Saccharomyces cerevisiae S288C: one gene and its partners. The protein of the gene in region 2 interacts with the protein of the main gene of each other region in a biochemical or structural test. Each region holds a gene or a part of one and is shown on either strand. Other genes may lie near its edges.

The links.
Region 1: the proteins of GRR1 (region 2) and TYE7 form a complex in vitro, tested with the Saccharomyces cerevisiae proteins (one study listed by BioGRID).
Region 3: the proteins of GRR1 (region 2) and MKS1 form a complex in vitro, tested with the Saccharomyces cerevisiae proteins (one study listed by BioGRID).
Region 4: the proteins of GRR1 (region 2) and CLN1 form a complex in vitro, tested with the Saccharomyces cerevisiae proteins (2 studies listed by BioGRID, with this or other methods).

The regions. Positions count from the first base shown.
Region 1 is NC_001147.6:976,672-979,862, reverse strand, and holds TYE7 (Tye7p), read left to right. Parts: upstream 1-1,793; coding exon 1,794-2,669; downstream 2,670-3,191. UniProt on the Saccharomyces cerevisiae protein: Transcriptional activator of glycolytic gene expression, such as enolase genes (ENO1 and ENO2), glyceraldehyde-3-phosphate dehydrogenase gene (TDH), phosphoglycerate kinase (PGK1), phosphoglycerate mutase (PGM1), pyruvate kinase (PYK1) and triosephosphate isomerase (TPI1) genes.
Region 2 is NC_001142.9:590,339-596,268, reverse strand, and holds GRR1 (SCF ubiquitin ligase complex subunit GRR1), read left to right. Parts: upstream 1-1,941; coding exon 1,942-5,397; downstream 5,398-5,930. Other genes in the region: JSN1 (Jsn1p), read left to right, coding at 1-1,208; BIR1 (survivin), read right to left, coding at 5,687-5,930. UniProt on the Saccharomyces cerevisiae protein: Substrate recognition component of a SCF (SKP1-CUL1-F-box protein) E3 ubiquitin-protein ligase complex which mediates the ubiquitination and subsequent proteasomal degradation of target proteins.
Region 3 is NC_001146.8:481,529-485,842, reverse strand, and holds MKS1 (Mks1p), read right to left. Parts: upstream 2,288-4,314; coding exon 533-2,287; downstream 1-532. Other genes in the region: snoRNA-binding rRNA-processing protein IMP4, read right to left, coding at 1-236; APJ1 (Apj1p), read right to left, coding at 2,866-4,314. UniProt on the Saccharomyces cerevisiae protein: Negative regulator of Ras-cAMP pathway. Involved in transcriptional regulation of galactose-inducible genes.
Region 4 is NC_001145.3:660,834-664,830, forward strand, and holds CLN1 (cyclin CLN1), read left to right. Parts: upstream 1-1,810; coding exon 1,811-3,451; downstream 3,452-3,997. Other genes in the region: CIK1 (Cik1p), read left to right, coding at 1-696; ROT1 (Rot1p), read left to right, coding at 3,919-3,997. UniProt on the Saccharomyces cerevisiae protein: Essential for the control of the cell cycle at the G1/S (start) transition. Interacts with the CDC28 protein kinase to form MPF.

The DNA of each region.
Region 1 (3,191 bases), on a different chromosome or scaffold from region 2:
GATATCAAATTTCTTTGGGTGCGATGTAGATGATTCAAATACTCAATAATTATGCATGAAAGAAATCCATTATTCTTGGCAGGAATGCCTCAGGGAATATGGGACCATGACAAGAGGCAACTTAATAGGCATTTACAACCTTTTGATTGAATAATCTAACTATGGGATATAAAGAAGCCTCTAAAAAATTAAATGCCGATAACCTTGATGATTTTCGTATGCTTATTTAATGCGGCTCCCGTCAGCGCCCTGCCGGGTAATATGATTCCCTTTCCAAGTAAGAAGAGCGACAGATAAGCGCGCTTGTATTCATCATACTGCCGCTATGCTGCTTTTCAGTCTGAAAATCGGATGTAATCTGAAAAGCGGATCTGTATTACGATATGATATGGGCAGCCTTTGTGGGTACGATGTCTAGAATTGAAACATTTTTTAATTATATTAATCTTATCGTTTACTTTTTCACATTCTTATCAGTAGGGCGAAACACTAAGAAAAGAGGAACCTCTTTGCGGCTTACGTAAAAAATGCACTAGCCATGTTTGGCACGTTCCCTGCTTGAACTGACATTAGGGGTCGAGCACGAGAGAAAGCCTATTGCCATCACGTGGCAAGCCAGCAATGATCAATTAACAACGCTAAAATCGGCGTATATGCAATGCCAATCCTACGATACTGTTGAAGTAAGGGGGAGGGCGCTAATACGACTCAGACTGACATGCCCTAGTTGTGCTACAAAATTGTCGTTTATGTTACAAACACGTGTAAGATAGTAAAATACCCTTCTTGGACATTCTATTATGCCAAAGCAAAAAAAAATCGGTGAAATAAACCTGTCTCAGTCTGGTTTAGGAAAAGAGACATCACCACACCATGCCAAATGCGGCAACTTCCTTAAACCGCGGTGTCGTAGAACCCATTCATCCTTGTGTATACGCTATGCTGGGCGGTACTTACCGGATCTGGCAGGCACCACATGGGTAGAGAATAAATGACGCACGCATCTGAATGTTACACCCAGAGGTATCCCGGAAAATCTTCCTTTTGAAACCGGAACAAGCTGACCTTGACTTTCACCCGCGGATACTGCTTAGCCCAGTTCCGGCCGTACACAAGCCCTTCTGGAGTGGGATTGAGCTCACTTCATTGCGCTGTTACTCCCCTAACAACGTGGCCTCTCTCCATTCGGTAAGGAATCAAATTTTGTTCTAGAATGTTCATGCTGCTGCGGTCATTTCTTACCCTAGTAGTAATTCATTGTGCCCACGTACGAACCGTACAATGGGATTCTGCCCTGCGCACGTTCACAGTTCGCCAAATAACAATTCTCATTTTCATTTCTTTTTCACAGTGTAGATGATACCGTGTCTGCGACATTTCCATTCTTAGTAGAAATGCAAAACGCAACGTTTGCTATTAATTTTTTTCACCTCTGTTTCCTTTTTTTTTCTCACCTCAACAATCAAATGTACTTATATAAACTTCTTTTGTTATCTCCAAAATTTAAACTTATTTACATCCTTTTTCACTTCATATATCAATTCATGGGAAAGTAAAGCTATCTTAATTACATCCTTATTTTATATTTCCCAACCATCAACCTTTATTCTTTACATATTTCTCTCTTTTCTCATTTTCTTTCTTATTAAGCGTAAAGCACCACAAGCAGTACCGATCTAAAGTCTCTCTACTTTACTATTATTTTTTTTTTTTGTTCACTTCATAAACTTTTAGTGCAAAAATAAAAATAAAGACAAATAACACACTATCAAATCTCTTCAAGTTTAACAATTATGAACTCTATTTTAGACAGAAATGTTAGATCTAGCGAAACTACTTTAATTAAACCTGAATCTGAATTTGATAATTGGTTGTCGGATGAAAATGACGGAGCTAGTCATATCAACGTCAACAAGGACTCCTCGTCAGTTCTTTCTGCATCTTCTTCCACATGGTTCGAACCATTGGAAAACATTATCTCCTCTGCATCCAGCTCCTCGATAGGCTCTCCAATCGAAGACCAGTTTATATCTTCCAACAACGAGGAATCTGCTCTTTTTCCAACAGATCAGTTTTTCAGTAATCCTTCCTCATACTCGCATTCTCCCGAGGTTAGCAGCTCGATAAAAAGAGAAGAGGATGACAATGCCCTTTCGTTGGCAGATTTTGAACCGGCTTCTTTGCAATTAATGCCTAACATGATAAATACTGATAATAATGACGATAGTACCCCACTTAAGAATGAAATCGAGCTAAACGACTCGTTTATAAAAACAAATCTAGATGCTAAGGAAACGAAAAAGAGGGCTCCAAGAAAAAGACTGACCCCCTTCCAAAAGCAAGCTCACAACAAGATTGAAAAACGCTACAGAATAAACATCAACACAAAGATTGCAAGACTGCAGCAGATTATCCCATGGGTAGCAAGTGAACAAACAGCTTTCGAAGTAGGTGATTCTGTAAAAAAACAGGACGAAGACGGCGCAGAAACTGCCGCTACTACTCCTCTTCCATCTGCCGCTGCTACAAGCACGAAGCTAAATAAAAGCATGATCCTAGAAAAAGCTGTTGACTATATTCTATATCTACAAAATAACGAACGACTATACGAAATGGAAGTTCAAAGGTTGAAAAGTGAAATCGACACTTTGAAACAAGACCAAAAATAAAAGCACGCTTGCTTAAACACCAATATTATAAAATTACGATAGAAATTCCTTTCTCCTCTTTTGTTTATGCGACATTTTTTTCTTTCTTAGCGAAGTACTTTAAAAAACAAGCCCAAAAAATAACAAGGCCATAACATAGCAGACAAGAATACAAAAAAAAAAAAGAAGTTGGAAAAAACATACAAAAAGATAAAAAAAAAAAATCCCCACTAAAGAAGGATGATAAATCGTGATGCGCACTTTTCATACCTTTTTCTTTTCTATTTCGTATTATTCAAAAAAAATTCTAATTTTATTCCTCCTTTATACACATTAATGACGCGTGGTTCATAGCCAAGAAAGCACAAGACATGACGAAATTCCGTTTCAGCTACGGACGGATATGTATGCCAAAACCGAAAAAATAAAAAAAAATCAATTTTTTTTATTTCAACAAACACATACACCTTAATGATTTATACGAACGAACTCTTCTCAAACTTTTCTCATTTATTTTATTTTATTATCTTATTACGGCCTTTT
Region 2 (5,930 bases):
GGGTCAAGGACTACTGTACTCCATTAATCAATGACCAATTCGGAAATTATGTCATACAGTGCGTTTTGAAATTTGGATTCCCCTGGAACCAGTTTATTTTTGAAAGTATAATAGCTAATTTTTGGGTTATTGTTCAGAATAGATATGGTGCAAGGGCAGTCAGAGCTTGTTTAGAGGCACATGACATTGTAACTCCTGAACAATCAATAGTTTTGAGTGCAATGATCGTTACATATGCTGAATATCTAAGCACTAATAGCAATGGTGCGTTGTTAGTAACGTGGTTTTTAGATACTAGTGTTTTACCCAACAGACATTCTATCTTGGCACCAAGATTGACGAAAAGAATTGTAGAGTTATGTGGCCACAGATTGGCTTCTTTGACTATTTTGAAGGTCTTGAATTACAGAGGGGATGATAACGCTAGAAAAATCATCCTAGATTCCCTATTTGGAAACGTGAACGCACACGATTCTTCGCCACCAAAGGAATTAACAAAGCTTTTATGTGAAACAAATTATGGCCCAACCTTTGTCCATAAAGTTTTAGCAATGCCATTATTAGAAGATGACTTAAGAGCCCACATCATTAAACAAGTCAGAAAAGTATTGACGGATTCTACTCAAATCCAACCAAGCCGCCGTTTATTGGAAGAAGTCGGGTTGGCATCACCCTCTAGTACTCATAACAAGACAAAACAACAACAGCAGCAGCATCATAACAGCAGCATTTCGCACATGTTCGCCACTCCTGATACTTCTGGACAACACATGAGAGGTCTTTCTGTTTCTAGCGTTAAAAGTGGTGGATCTAAACATACCACAATGAACACCACGACTACAAATGGTTCTTCTGCCTCTACATTATCCCCGGGCCAACCATTGAATGCCAATTCTAATTCTTCAATGGGCTATTTTAGTTATCCTGGCGTCTTCCCTGTCAGCGGCTTTTCAGGCAACGCCAGTAATGGATATGCTATGAACAACGATGACTTAAGTTCCCAGTTTGATATGCTAAACTTTAATAACGGAACCCGTTTATCGTTGCCACAACTGAGCCTAACTAACCATAACAACACTACTATGGAATTAGTAAACAATGTTGGCTCCTCACAACCTCATACGAACAACAACAACAATAATAACAACACGAACTATAACGACGATAACACCGTTTTTGAAACTCTGACTTTACACTCTGCAAACTGACGTCCCCATGTTTTCTTTTATTTCCGTCATCATTGGGAGACCACGCCGTTTTCTTCTCATACCTGCATCCATTCAAAACTATCTCATTTACCCCCAACGGTTTTATGGTTCAAATCCTAATAGAATATGAGCGAGCTAATGAAGAATTTGGGCATTTTCATTACTGGGAAGACGTGTCTTTTTCAAGCCATCATATCGCCAAATTTTTTTTCTACACCTAATCATGATTAAATAAATCCATAAAGTTTTATACAGTTTTTAAAAATATCATCATTTATTACCCAGATGTGTTAATGAACATTTATAGTCATCATTACTAGGCTTTCATTACTACTGAGGTTACCCGCCTATGGACCTTCCTTGGTAAAGGAACTTGTTTTAAAATTTGCCTTTTAACAAATTTAGTGATATGATTATCAAAAAAGGCGTGGCAAAATACATAACACCAAATTTAACTGTGCCTGTGTGTTACTTTCTTTTGTCCATACTTCACCAGTTTTTCGATTTTACACAATAATTCGTTTTCATTTAATCGTTCTCTTAGAAGCCCGGTTTTTGAATATCAAAATCGTACTTGTGTCCAACTAGCAGGGAAGCCCAAAAATTAAGGCATTGCATTTAAGCTTACACCTGCGTGAAATCTTGAAATTTCTCATTGATTTCGGCACAATAATTATCATTGGTAGTGAGGCTAAACAGTTTTGCGGTTTCCTTTATACTAAGAAGGTCTATAATGGATCAGGATAACAACAACCACAATGACAGCAATAGGCTGCACCCACCTGATATACATCCAAATTTGGGCCCTCAATTGTGGCTGAATAGTAGCGGTGATTTTGACGACAACAACAACAACAACAACAACAACAACAATAATAATAGCACAAGACCACAAATGCCATCACGAACTAGAGAAACGGCAACTTCGGAAAGAAATGCAAGTGAGGTTAGGGATGCAACGCTAAATAATATCTTTAGGTTCGATAGTATTCAACGGGAAACGCTTTTGCCAACCAACAACGGACAACCGCTAAATCAAAACTTTTCGCTGACATTTCAACCACAACAGCAAACAAATGCGCTGAACGGGATTGACATAAACACTGTGAACACAAACCTTATGAATGGTGTCAATGTTCAAATAGATCAACTTAATCGATTGTTACCGAACCTACCAGAGGAAGAACGGAAGCAAATCCACGAATTCAAGCTAATAGTGGGCAAAAAAATCCAAGAGTTTCTGGTTGTTATAGAGAAACGTAGAAAAAAAATACTGAACGAAATTGAGCTAGACAACCTTAAACTAAAGGAGCTACGTATTGATAACTCCCCACAAGCAATTAGTTATTTGCATAAATTACAAAGAATGAGGCTTAGGGCGCTAGAGACAGAAAACATGGAAATTAGAAATTTAAGGCTAAAAATATTAACAATTATAGAAGAGTACAAAAAGTCATTATATGCATACTGCCATTCCAAGCTAAGAGGTCAACAAGTGGAAAATCCAACAGATAATTTCATCATTTGGATAAACTCCATAGATACTACTGAATCATCTGACTTGAAAGAAGGGCTACAAGATCTTTCGAGATATTCAAGGCAGTTCATAAATAATGTGCTTTCGAATCCATCAAATCAAAACATATGTACGAGTGTCACCCGAAGATCACCTGTGTTTGCCCTAAACATGCTACCCTCGGAAATATTACACTTAATATTAGATAAACTTAACCAAAAATATGATATTGTAAAATTCCTTACCGTTTCCAAACTCTGGGCTGAAATAATTGTGAAGATACTTTATTACAGACCGCACATCAACAAAAAGAGTCAATTAGACTTGTTTTTAAGGACTATGAAGTTAACTTCTGAAGAAACTGTATTCAACTATCGTTTAATGATCAAAAGATTAAATTTTTCATTTGTTGGTGACTACATGCACGATACAGAGCTTAACTATTTTGTCGGATGTAAGAATTTGGAGCGACTAACTTTAGTATTTTGCAAGCATATAACCAGTGTTCCAATATCGGCTGTTTTGAGAGGATGTAAATTTCTCCAAAGTGTGGATATCACTGGAATAAGAGACGTTTCCGATGACGTATTTGATACCTTAGCGACATATTGTCCCAGAGTACAGGGCTTTTATGTTCCTCAGGCAAGGAATGTAACATTCGATTCACTGCGGAATTTCATAGTCCATTCCCCGATGTTGAAAAGAATAAAAATCACAGCAAACAATAACATGAATGACGAATTAGTAGAACTATTAGCCAACAAATGCCCTTTGCTTGTAGAGGTCGATATAACATTAAGTCCAAATGTCACTGATTCTAGTTTGTTAAAACTCCTCACTAGGTTAGTTCAGCTGAGGGAATTCAGAATAACTCATAATACGAATATTACGGATAATCTTTTCCAGGAGCTTTCTAAAGTAGTTGACGATATGCCCTCTTTAAGATTGATTGATCTTTCTGGATGTGAAAATATTACAGATAAAACTATAGAAAGTATAGTCAATTTAGCCCCTAAATTACGTAATGTTTTTCTAGGCAAGTGTAGCCGAATTACAGATGCATCGTTGTTCCAATTATCGAAGCTGGGCAAAAACTTGCAAACAGTGCATTTTGGGCACTGTTTCAATATAACTGATAACGGGGTAAGAGCACTCTTTCATTCATGTACAAGAATACAGTATGTGGACTTTGCGTGCTGTACGAATTTAACCAATAGAACTCTTTATGAACTAGCAGACTTACCAAAATTAAAGAGAATTGGCCTTGTCAAATGTACGCAAATGACTGACGAGGGTTTGTTGAATATGGTTTCCTTGCGAGGCCGAAATGATACTTTAGAAAGGGTACATTTATCTTACTGTTCTAATTTAACAATATATCCGATATATGAGCTTCTAATGTCTTGCCCAAGGCTCTCACATTTGTCTTTGACTGCTGTTCCGTCATTTTTACGCCCCGATATAACGATGTATTGCAGGCCTGCACCCTCAGACTTTAGTGAAAATCAACGTCAAATATTCTGCGTATTTTCAGGGAAAGGTGTTCATAAACTTCGCCATTATTTAGTAAATTTAACGTCGCCCGCTTTTGGACCACATGTCGATGTAAATGATGTTTTGACAAAATATATTAGATCCAAGAATTTGATATTTAACGGTGAAACACTTGAAGATGCTCTTAGGAGAATCATAACTGATTTAAATCAAGATTCCGCTGCAATTATAGCTGCTACAGGATTAAATCAAATCAACGGTCTAAATAACGATTTTCTTTTCCAGAATATCAATTTTGAACGAATAGATGAAGTATTCAGTTGGTATCTCAATACTTTTGATGGCATTAGGATGAGCTCGGAGGAAGTTAACTCACTATTATTGCAAGTAAACAAGACGTTTTGTGAAGATCCATTTAGTGATGTGGACGATGATCAAGATTATGTCGTAGCACCTGGTGTAAACCGGGAAATTAACAGTGAAATGTGTCATATTGTTAGAAAATTCCATGAGTTAAATGATCATATTGATGATTTCGAGGTGAATGTTGCTAGTTTGGTAAGAGTTCAGTTTCAGTTTACTGGTTTTTTACTTCATGAAATGACTCAAACCTATATGCAAATGATTGAATTAAACAGACAAATTTGTTTAGTACAAAAAACGGTTCAGGAATCGGGCAACATAGATTACCAAAAAGGGCTTTTAATATGGCGACTTTTATTCATTGACAAATTCATTATGGTGGTTCAGAAGTACAAGCTCTCCACCGTTGTTTTGAGACTATATTTAAAAGATAACATAACATTGTTAACCAGACAAAGAGAACTATTAATAGCCCACCAAAGATCAGCATGGAATAACAATAATGACAATGACGCCAACCGGAACGCCAACAACATAGTGAATATTGTATCGGATGCTGGGGCAAACGATACAAGTAACAATGAAACTAACAATGGTAATGATGACAATGAAACAGAAAATCCAAATTTCTGGCGTCAGTTTGGCAATAGAATGCAAATATCACCTGACCAGATGAGGAATCTCCAAATGGGACTTCGTAATCAGAACATGGTTAGGAACAATAACAACAACACAATTGACGAATCAATGCCTGACACTGCCATTGATTCTCAAATGGATGAAGCATCAGGAACGCCCGATGAAGATATGTTATAATTGTATTTCATTGAATACTTACTGTCCTACTACACCTTTATTTTCAAAATCCCACTTTTCTTACTTATTTACATATAAATACATAATGCATTCACTTTGAAACTTTTTGCCTTAGCATGTATACGCTATAGACTTGCGGTATCAACGAATATACGTAACGTTGTCACGTCCACAGAAGATGCTATGTCAACAGTTCCCTGCAGATATCTGCGATGCGGCGAAACATTCTATACACAGTTTCAAAACTACAAAAAATACAAACCTTTAGCCTGTTTATCAAATTAGTTAGCTATAAAATGCCCATTTTCTTAGCAATATCGATCAATTGATTGTCATCTTCCAAAGTTTCAATAAAATTTGTGGCAGTATAGTAATCCCTTCTCAATATGTCCAATTTCTTATCACAGTCATCTATAAATTCGCGCTTAATAGATTGCACTTTTAGGTTCACCCAATTGTTGAATGTCATGTCCAACTCTTCTGCAGGCATTTGCTTAATCAAAAAAGCCAGATCACCGTCTTTGTCATTAGCT
Region 3 (4,314 bases), on a different chromosome or scaffold from region 2:
GCAGCATATTCATCATCAACCTGTAGATCATCTGCTTCTTCGCTCTCCTTTAAACTTTGGTCATATCTGAAATCCTTTTGTAAACTCTCATCTTCTGCTAGTTCCTTTGGCAATGGCTTCCCCTGAGCTAGCGCTTGTTTAATTATTTGACGTTTTTGTTGCAGTTGAGAATCTTGTAATTCTTGCGCTTTTCTGTATAGATATTCTCTCCTTTCACGGGCTTGTCTTCTTAGCATTTCGATTTAACTGTTTTATTATTTATGGGAACACTTGAATCAATGATAAAACCGAGTATATATGCCCTTTCAAGTCCAACCTCATGCAATCAATATATACGCTACTTCATGCATTTTCATCTCATCGCATTTCCGGGATAAAATTTTTTATATTTTTCAGTACACAATATCCGTTACCCGAAGTGAATAGTGTGTCATTAGAAGGAACTCTTTCACTGCGTAGATAGTAAAATATATGACATTATCTTTTTTTGAAAGAACTTTAAATACTGTATCTGATTTATTTAACTTAGTAATCATATTCGCCCTCCATTACTCGTCTTACGCCCCAGTGCTTCCGTTCTCTGATTAGAGGTGTCATCATTACCATTTCCATTACTGTTTGCAATACTCGTATTGTCAAGCCGTGATATTGTACGTACCATCTTTTCTTCCTCAGAGATCTCCATTCTGGTCTTCAAAAACCCAGTATTCCTGTTCTTGGATGGGATATCCATCGACTGCCGCCTCGAAAAACGATGTCGCGTATTACTACCAGTGGCAATCGCCATTCGTTGTTGGTGAATGTTATTTGGCAAAAACATGTGAGTAGATAAGGCGGTGGGCAGTATAGTTTGAGCAGTTAGCGGAGCATTAGATTCATATAAATGATTGGACTCATTATCAGTTTTGAAGTCCTTTTGTATATCCATCGATAACCGCTCATTGTTGGATGGTTGCGGGGGAGATAGCGATGCTAGAGCTGTCACGTTGCTTGTTTTCAAAGAAGGTTTTTGTTGTTTTATACCATTAGCGCTCGGTGGATTTTGCTGCGGTTGAGGACCGATATTACTATGAGAGGACTGAGGAGTCGGCGAAACGTGTTTAGAAGCGTATTCACTATGTGCAGTATTGTGGTTATTACTGTTGCTATTTGCCTCACTAAGGAATAGTCCACTGAGTAAACTTTTTCGTACGGGATCATGGGATGTGTTTGAGTTGATTGTGTTCGCTGATGAAACAGATGATTTCGTTGAGTCAAGATTCTGTTGATTTTTGGCAAATAAAAGCTTGTCCCATTGTCTTCTATAGTACTGATCTGCTTCTTCCTCATTATAATCATCGTACTCTTCATCATCTTCATCAGCGTAGAATTCTGAATCATTCGAAACGCTGTCCCAATCGGAATCTTCATCTTCACTGCTGAAAAATATCTTGTTTTTTCCTTTTCTAGAGGATGTTTTCGAAAGTGACAGTTGACCATTTTGGTCATTCTTGTAAGACCTTGGCCTTCCGAATAAAGATTCCTTCTGAGGAAAAGAGGATTTTCTACTTCCCATATTTTCAAGAGTAGGACTGGTACTCTTGGAAGTCTCATTATCAATGCAGTTCATGTTCATGTCTCCTATATGCTGGAAAGGTGATCTTGAGCGTCTTGATTGTAAAGGTTTCTTGGTTATAACAGTGCTTGTATCAAAACCAGTGATAATAGTTTGTGGTTCTTCCTTATTAGCAACATGGTTCACATTTTTCATTTTTTGATATTTGTCTGCAAAATTTGAAAACAACCCTGACGTAGTAGATTTGGAGAATTGTCTGTTTGGAGCAACGTCATTTTTCACATCATTGTTTGTAGAATTAGGATTATCCAAGGATCTATCGTGAGCACCCTGTGCGATAGCTGGTGATGTCATTGGCCGAGTTAAAACGTTCTGTTTTGCCGTTGTGGGAGGCAAATTGGCCTTTTGTAATGGTGGCTGCTTTACTGCTGCCTGCTTTGGCTTTATTGGCTGTTTGTTGTTTGGATTTAACACATAATATATGTTCTTCACGCCGTCTCTTTTTTTAGATCGATTAATATTATGCTCCTTTAGAACAGCTTTATTCAGAATTCTCCAACTTATATTGTGCAGCCTTTCTCCCTGCTCGACACATTTGGATGCTTTTATTAACGTAAGATATAGTTCGACATCATCAAATAAATTCAATCGCTCTGGGGTAAATAAATTAGGTGTGACTTTTAAAAACTTGTTAGTACCTATATTCGGTACATCAAATGCCTCCCGCGACATCAGTTCTTTTTTTTTATTAGGATTAGAGAATAATTAGGAAGTGTTGCTTAAGTAAATGAGATGGAACTAAGGGGTAGTTCTCTTTTTTCTTGAGGGTTGTGCTCTGTTCGTTTTCACGCAATAGTACAGTATATGTTTCTCCTTTTGTTCAGATCATTCAAATAAAAAGCAAAAAGGAAAGAAAATGAACACTTGGGTTAAAGATCCCTACTGCTGAAACCAAAACGATATTTTGATGAACTTAGAAATATGATCAGTGGTGAACTTCCCTTGCTTCTCTGTAACAACGGCATGCACATTCTAATCGGTTTTTTTTTTTGCTTTTCTGTTAAGTAACCTCCCACGATCTCTTGGCAGGCACTAAGAAAAAGATGAATAACAATGTATTACACGCTAAAAAAACTGCTAAAGGACTAGGGCTGCAATGATATTACCACCCAAACCGCGGTAAACCATCCACAGGAAGAATAGCGTATCTTTCCGCATTGCTTAAAAAAAGGAATGTCCTTATAGATAGAGTACTGATACAAAAAATAAAAATAGAAAATGTATAACATTACTGCATGACTATATAACCTTCAATATCCATTAATATCATGGTCATAAAAACCGCTTACCGGTGAAGAATATTTATTTCGTTTCGTTTCATTATTATTATTAATATTACTTTCGTCGAATCGACGGTTGTTCCTTTTCCGAGAATCTCTTTCATTAATCAAATCACCAAGGTCGTCGTCTTCAATAACTTCATTGTTTAAATTAGGGGCCTCAAAGCTACTTAACACATGCTCTTCCACACTGTCATATGACTTCTCCAAATCGCAATAGCAGTCTGAATCTGCGGTTTCCATGGTGGAACGTTCTGCTTTAATGTATTTATCATTAGCCAGAATATTTTGTATTTTCTTAGCATTTTCAGGTTCCAGTCTCTCTGGATACGTCACATCGAATTTGACATATAGATGACCGAAACCGCTCCGAACACCGTTGATAAACTTGGGCATCCCCATGTCCTCAACAGTCTTGAAACAACCAGGCTTCAGTATCTCGCCAGGTATAATATCAAGTTTGATCAACTTACCGCTAGGGTGCCCTTCAATATAAACTACGCCTCCACATAAACTGGTCATGAAGTCGATTTTGCACTTCTTACATATCAAATTGGAGTAGTTGATAACCTGGAAATTCGGATCTTTTAAACGTAAAATGGTGATAACGACGTCACCAGGTATTACCTTTTCGTGACCGCCTCCCTTAGTACTAATAACTTCGTCACCTTCGCCCGTAAGTACTATAAGTTGGTTATGACACGATCCCGGTTGAACGGTGACTTGTAGAATCTTCCTCTCCTTAATGAAGCCAAGACCTTGGCACTGTTGGCAAATATCTTTATTTTTGACAAAAACCCCGGCACCCCCGCAATCTGCACAAGTTTGAGACCAACTTTGTACTAGAGGTCCCATACGCCTAGTTTGGGTTTGAATACCTTGCCCTTTGCATGTTTTACAAGTGCATTTCTTTAGACCACCGTGCCCATCACAAACACTGCAAATCCTTGTCCTATTCAAACCCAACTTTGCAGTCTTACCCATGTAGAGTTCCTTCAATGTGCACTTTAGATTATGTTTGATATCAGGGCCTCTATCCAAATGATGGTCCTCATCGTTGGAGTTGTATTTTGCTGACGAGGAGTACAGATTGTTCACGCCACTGCCATTAACAAAGGAGAAGCTCGGCGTAGAGCTATTATTGAAGCTAAAATTAAAACTGCTTTTGGAGCCATTAGAAGAGGGGGTAGCAGAACTATTAAAAAACTGCGCGAAAAGATCACCTGGAGATAGATCCGGGAATGACATTGCTTCCGTATCGAAATTTGAGGATGAACTGAACGGCCCGGCTTGTTGGCGTTGCGCCTGCGCCTGCTGCTCTTGAATCAGGACTTCATCTGTGGTACCGTACTGGTCATACAAAGCTCTTAAACGATTGTCTTTAAGTATTTCGTATGCCTGGCATATCTCTTGAAACTT
Region 4 (3,997 bases), on a different chromosome or scaffold from region 2:
CGACAAAATCTGGCCACTTCAATTGAAGAAATCAAAGGATACACCCGATGCTTTGCGTATGCCAATGAACGACAAATGCCTGATGAATTCCATATCAACTATGTGGATCGGTGCATTTGCGAGAATAGTGGAGAAAAACGGGTACAAGTATTTGATAGAGTAGTTCTCGAAGAAATCCATAAGGATCACAAACGCTTATATAACGAATGCATTCCGTTCCTGGAAAAATACATCAGCAAGTTAATTAACTGCAGCATTATAGTGGTTTCGCAGCAACCCACAGCACCAATGAAAAAGACTTTGCTAAAACAGTTAATTGAGCAGTACGGTGAGAATTATAAGATGACATTGAACATTTTGCATCTTGACGGAAGTATTAAACACAGTGACGTTGGATTAGATAACCCAACAGAAATTAGAGATCTGTCACAAGATGAAGAATGCATGAACATTTTAACTTTAGATACCAAGTTGGGAAAAGATGAAGAGTCCCATTCAATGAATATATATATCGGTAGTATGTCCACGGTACAGCTGAATAGAGAGCTTGATGATGCTCCCTCAGTCCTTTCGCATATTCTCACTAAAACAAAGCAGTGCTTTGTCTTCAAGATTAACGCTGGTGAAAACATCGAGAAGGCTCTAGCCTTAGCGGGAAAGCTGAAAAGAACAATAACATTACCTCAGCTAGATTAAGAAGGCCAGATCTTGTGCGCTACAATCACTTCGTCTCGTTCCCTTACATAAAAAACTTACGTAGCTACATTGTCGTGCGTGGCATCAACCTAATTATCCTAGCAAAATAAAAGAGAATGTTACGGGACTAACAGGCGGATGTAAATTACTCACTTAAACGCAGCCAAACATCATCGAGAACTTAGGGTAGCGTGCCACAAAATTTGCATGAATAAACTTTTGTTTTCCTAATTCGACAGCATTCCCTTGTTCGCAACACTTCACTGATAGGAAATCGAATAGCGCACACTCTCTTCTGGGACATACCCCAATGCGGTAAAGCCACGAAAACACCGCGCGTAAAGGGGTAAACAAGTCCATTCCTACAACCTCTTGGAGAAATTCTTTACCTACTACAACCCCGCGCCTGATACTTTCAGTATTCATGACAACTCGAGCCAGATCCCGCTCGTGGGCGTGTTCATTCTGTGACGATCCACTAGCGACTTCTTTGTTCAGCCTGCAAGAGACGCGTTCAAGGAAGAATTCGCGATTTTACTTCTTCGAGGGAATCTCGCACCGCGTTAGTTAGTTTCCAACCTTGAAAGCATCGGAGACGCATTTTTGGCGATTTTGCTGGATTGAGCTGAATGGTGCCAGGTCGAGGCTGGGAGGGAGACTAACTCGAAAGTGACGAAGACTCGAAAATTAAAAAAAAAGATACTGCAGAAGGCAAGATTGAGAATGGAGTAAAGGCAGCGTGGGTCCCCTGTGGAAACCGCAGTTTTCCTGCGCCAAGTGGTACCGGTGCGAGTGCAGCAATTAATCTCTCGATATTTTCTTAGTATCTCTTTTTATATAAGAATATATTTTGGAATTGGTAATGCTTATCTTCAATAGTTTCTTAGTTGAATGCACACTTAAGAGCAAATTGGCCAAGGAGTTCTTCGTTCGCTTTAATTTATTTCCTGGTTATTGTCAATTTATTCATCCCATCTCCCCAGGATAGAAGAAATTAGTGTAATTTTGCTGACAATACATTTTAACGACGATAACAATAATAGCAATTAAATAAAATAGCACTACCACCACTCCACTGCTCGTTAGCTATTTCTGTAAAATAAATAAAAAGATCATGAACCACTCAGAAGTGAAAACTGGGTTAATTGTCACTGCAAAGCAGACATATTACCCAATTGAATTGTCCAATGCAGAACTACTAACTCATTACGAAACCATACAGGAATATCACGAGGAAATCTCTCAAAATGTGCTGGTCCAATCTTCCAAGACAAAACCAGACATAAAATTGATCGATCAGCAACCGGAGATGAATCCTCATCAAACTAGAGAAGCCATAGTAACATTTTTGTATCAACTTTCAGTGATGACTAGAGTAAGTAATGGTATCTTCTTCCACGCTGTCAGGTTCTACGATCGCTATTGCTCTAAGAGAGTAGTGTTAAAGGACCAAGCTAAACTAGTTGTAGGCACCTGCCTTTGGTTAGCGGCCAAAACTTGGGGAGGGTGCAACCATATTATAAACAACGTCTCCATCCCCACAGGTGGTAGGTTTTATGGTCCCAATCCTAGAGCTCGTATTCCACGCCTTTCTGAATTGGTTCATTATTGCGGCGGGTCCGATTTATTCGATGAATCAATGTTCATTCAAATGGAAAGACATATCTTGGATACTCTGAACTGGGACGTTTATGAGCCCATGATTAATGACTACATTTTAAACGTTGACGAAAATTGTTTGATACAATATGAACTTTACAAAAACCAGTTACAAAATAACAATAGCAACGGCAAAGAATGGTCCTGTAAGAGAAAGTCACAATCTTCTGACGACAGTGATGCCACAGTGGAAGAACATATCAGTAGTTCACCGCAAAGTACTGGACTAGATGGCGATACAACTACCATGGATGAAGATGAAGAACTAAATTCCAAAATTAAATTGATAAATTTGAAAAGATTCTTAATTGATCTGAGCTGTTGGCAATACAACTTGCTTAAATTCGAATTATACGAAATATGCAATGGTATGTTTTCTATAATAAACAAATTCACTAATCAAGATCAAGGCCCTTTTCTCTCTATGCCCATTGGTAATGATATAAACTCAAACACTCAAACGCAGGTATTCAGCATTATCATCAATGGCATAGTCAATTCTCCCCCATCTTTAGTCGAAGTTTATAAGGAGCAATATGGTATAGTACCTTTCATATTACAAGTAAAAGATTATAACTTGGAATTACAAAAGAAACTGCAACTGGCCTCTACAATAGACCTAACCAGAAAAATTGCTGTCAATTCTCGTTACTTTGACCAAAATGCCTCTTCATCATCAGTTTCTTCTCCAAGCACATATTCTTCGGGAACCAATTATACTCCAATGCGAAACTTCAGTGCACAATCAGACAACAGTGTTTTCAGTACTACCAACATTGACCATTCATCGCCGATCACCCCTCACATGTACACTTTTAATCAGTTTAAAAACGAAAGTGCTTGTGACAGTGCCATAAGCGTAAGCAGTCTACCTAATCAAACCCAAAATGGTAACATGCCATTATCAAGCAATTATCAGAATATGATGCTAGAAGAAAGGAATAAAGAGAATAGAATTCCCAACTCATCATCCGCTGAAATACCACAACGTGCCAAATTTATGACGACTGGTATATTCCAGAACACAGGAGAACTTACTAATAGAGCGTCTTCGATATCGCTATCGTTAAGGAACCACAATAGCTCTCAACTGTGACCATTTTCTCATCAAGCCTACATATATACTTAATTAATAACGGAATACTACGCTTTTCCATCGTAAGTAATAATGACATTCATACTTGACATTTTAATACCAGATAATTTTAATGCCCACCTACAAACATCTAGCCTCAATATTCTTCACCTGAAACCAGCTGAATAGTAATATACCAATATTCTTTCAACGATTGATATAATTATCATCATGAACGGAAAAGATGACGCGATTTTCCAGTATTTTTTTCTTCCTTTCGTTCTAACGTTTGCGGTAAGCAAAGGAGAGTAGTAATTAGCAAACAGTTATAAATAGAAAGCCTCTCTAAGATTATAGATATATAGTCATACTAAAGCTTGAGATCTCATCTTTTTCGAGAACCTACCGGCATATTAAACTGAAGTAAGACATCATTCTGAGGAAAGGATCGGTATTATAACCATTATTATTTGTTGCACTTTATTACTATGTGGTCGAAAAAGTTTACATTAAAAAAGCTAATCTTAGGCGGGTATTTGTTTGCTCAAAAGGTCTATTGTGAAGACG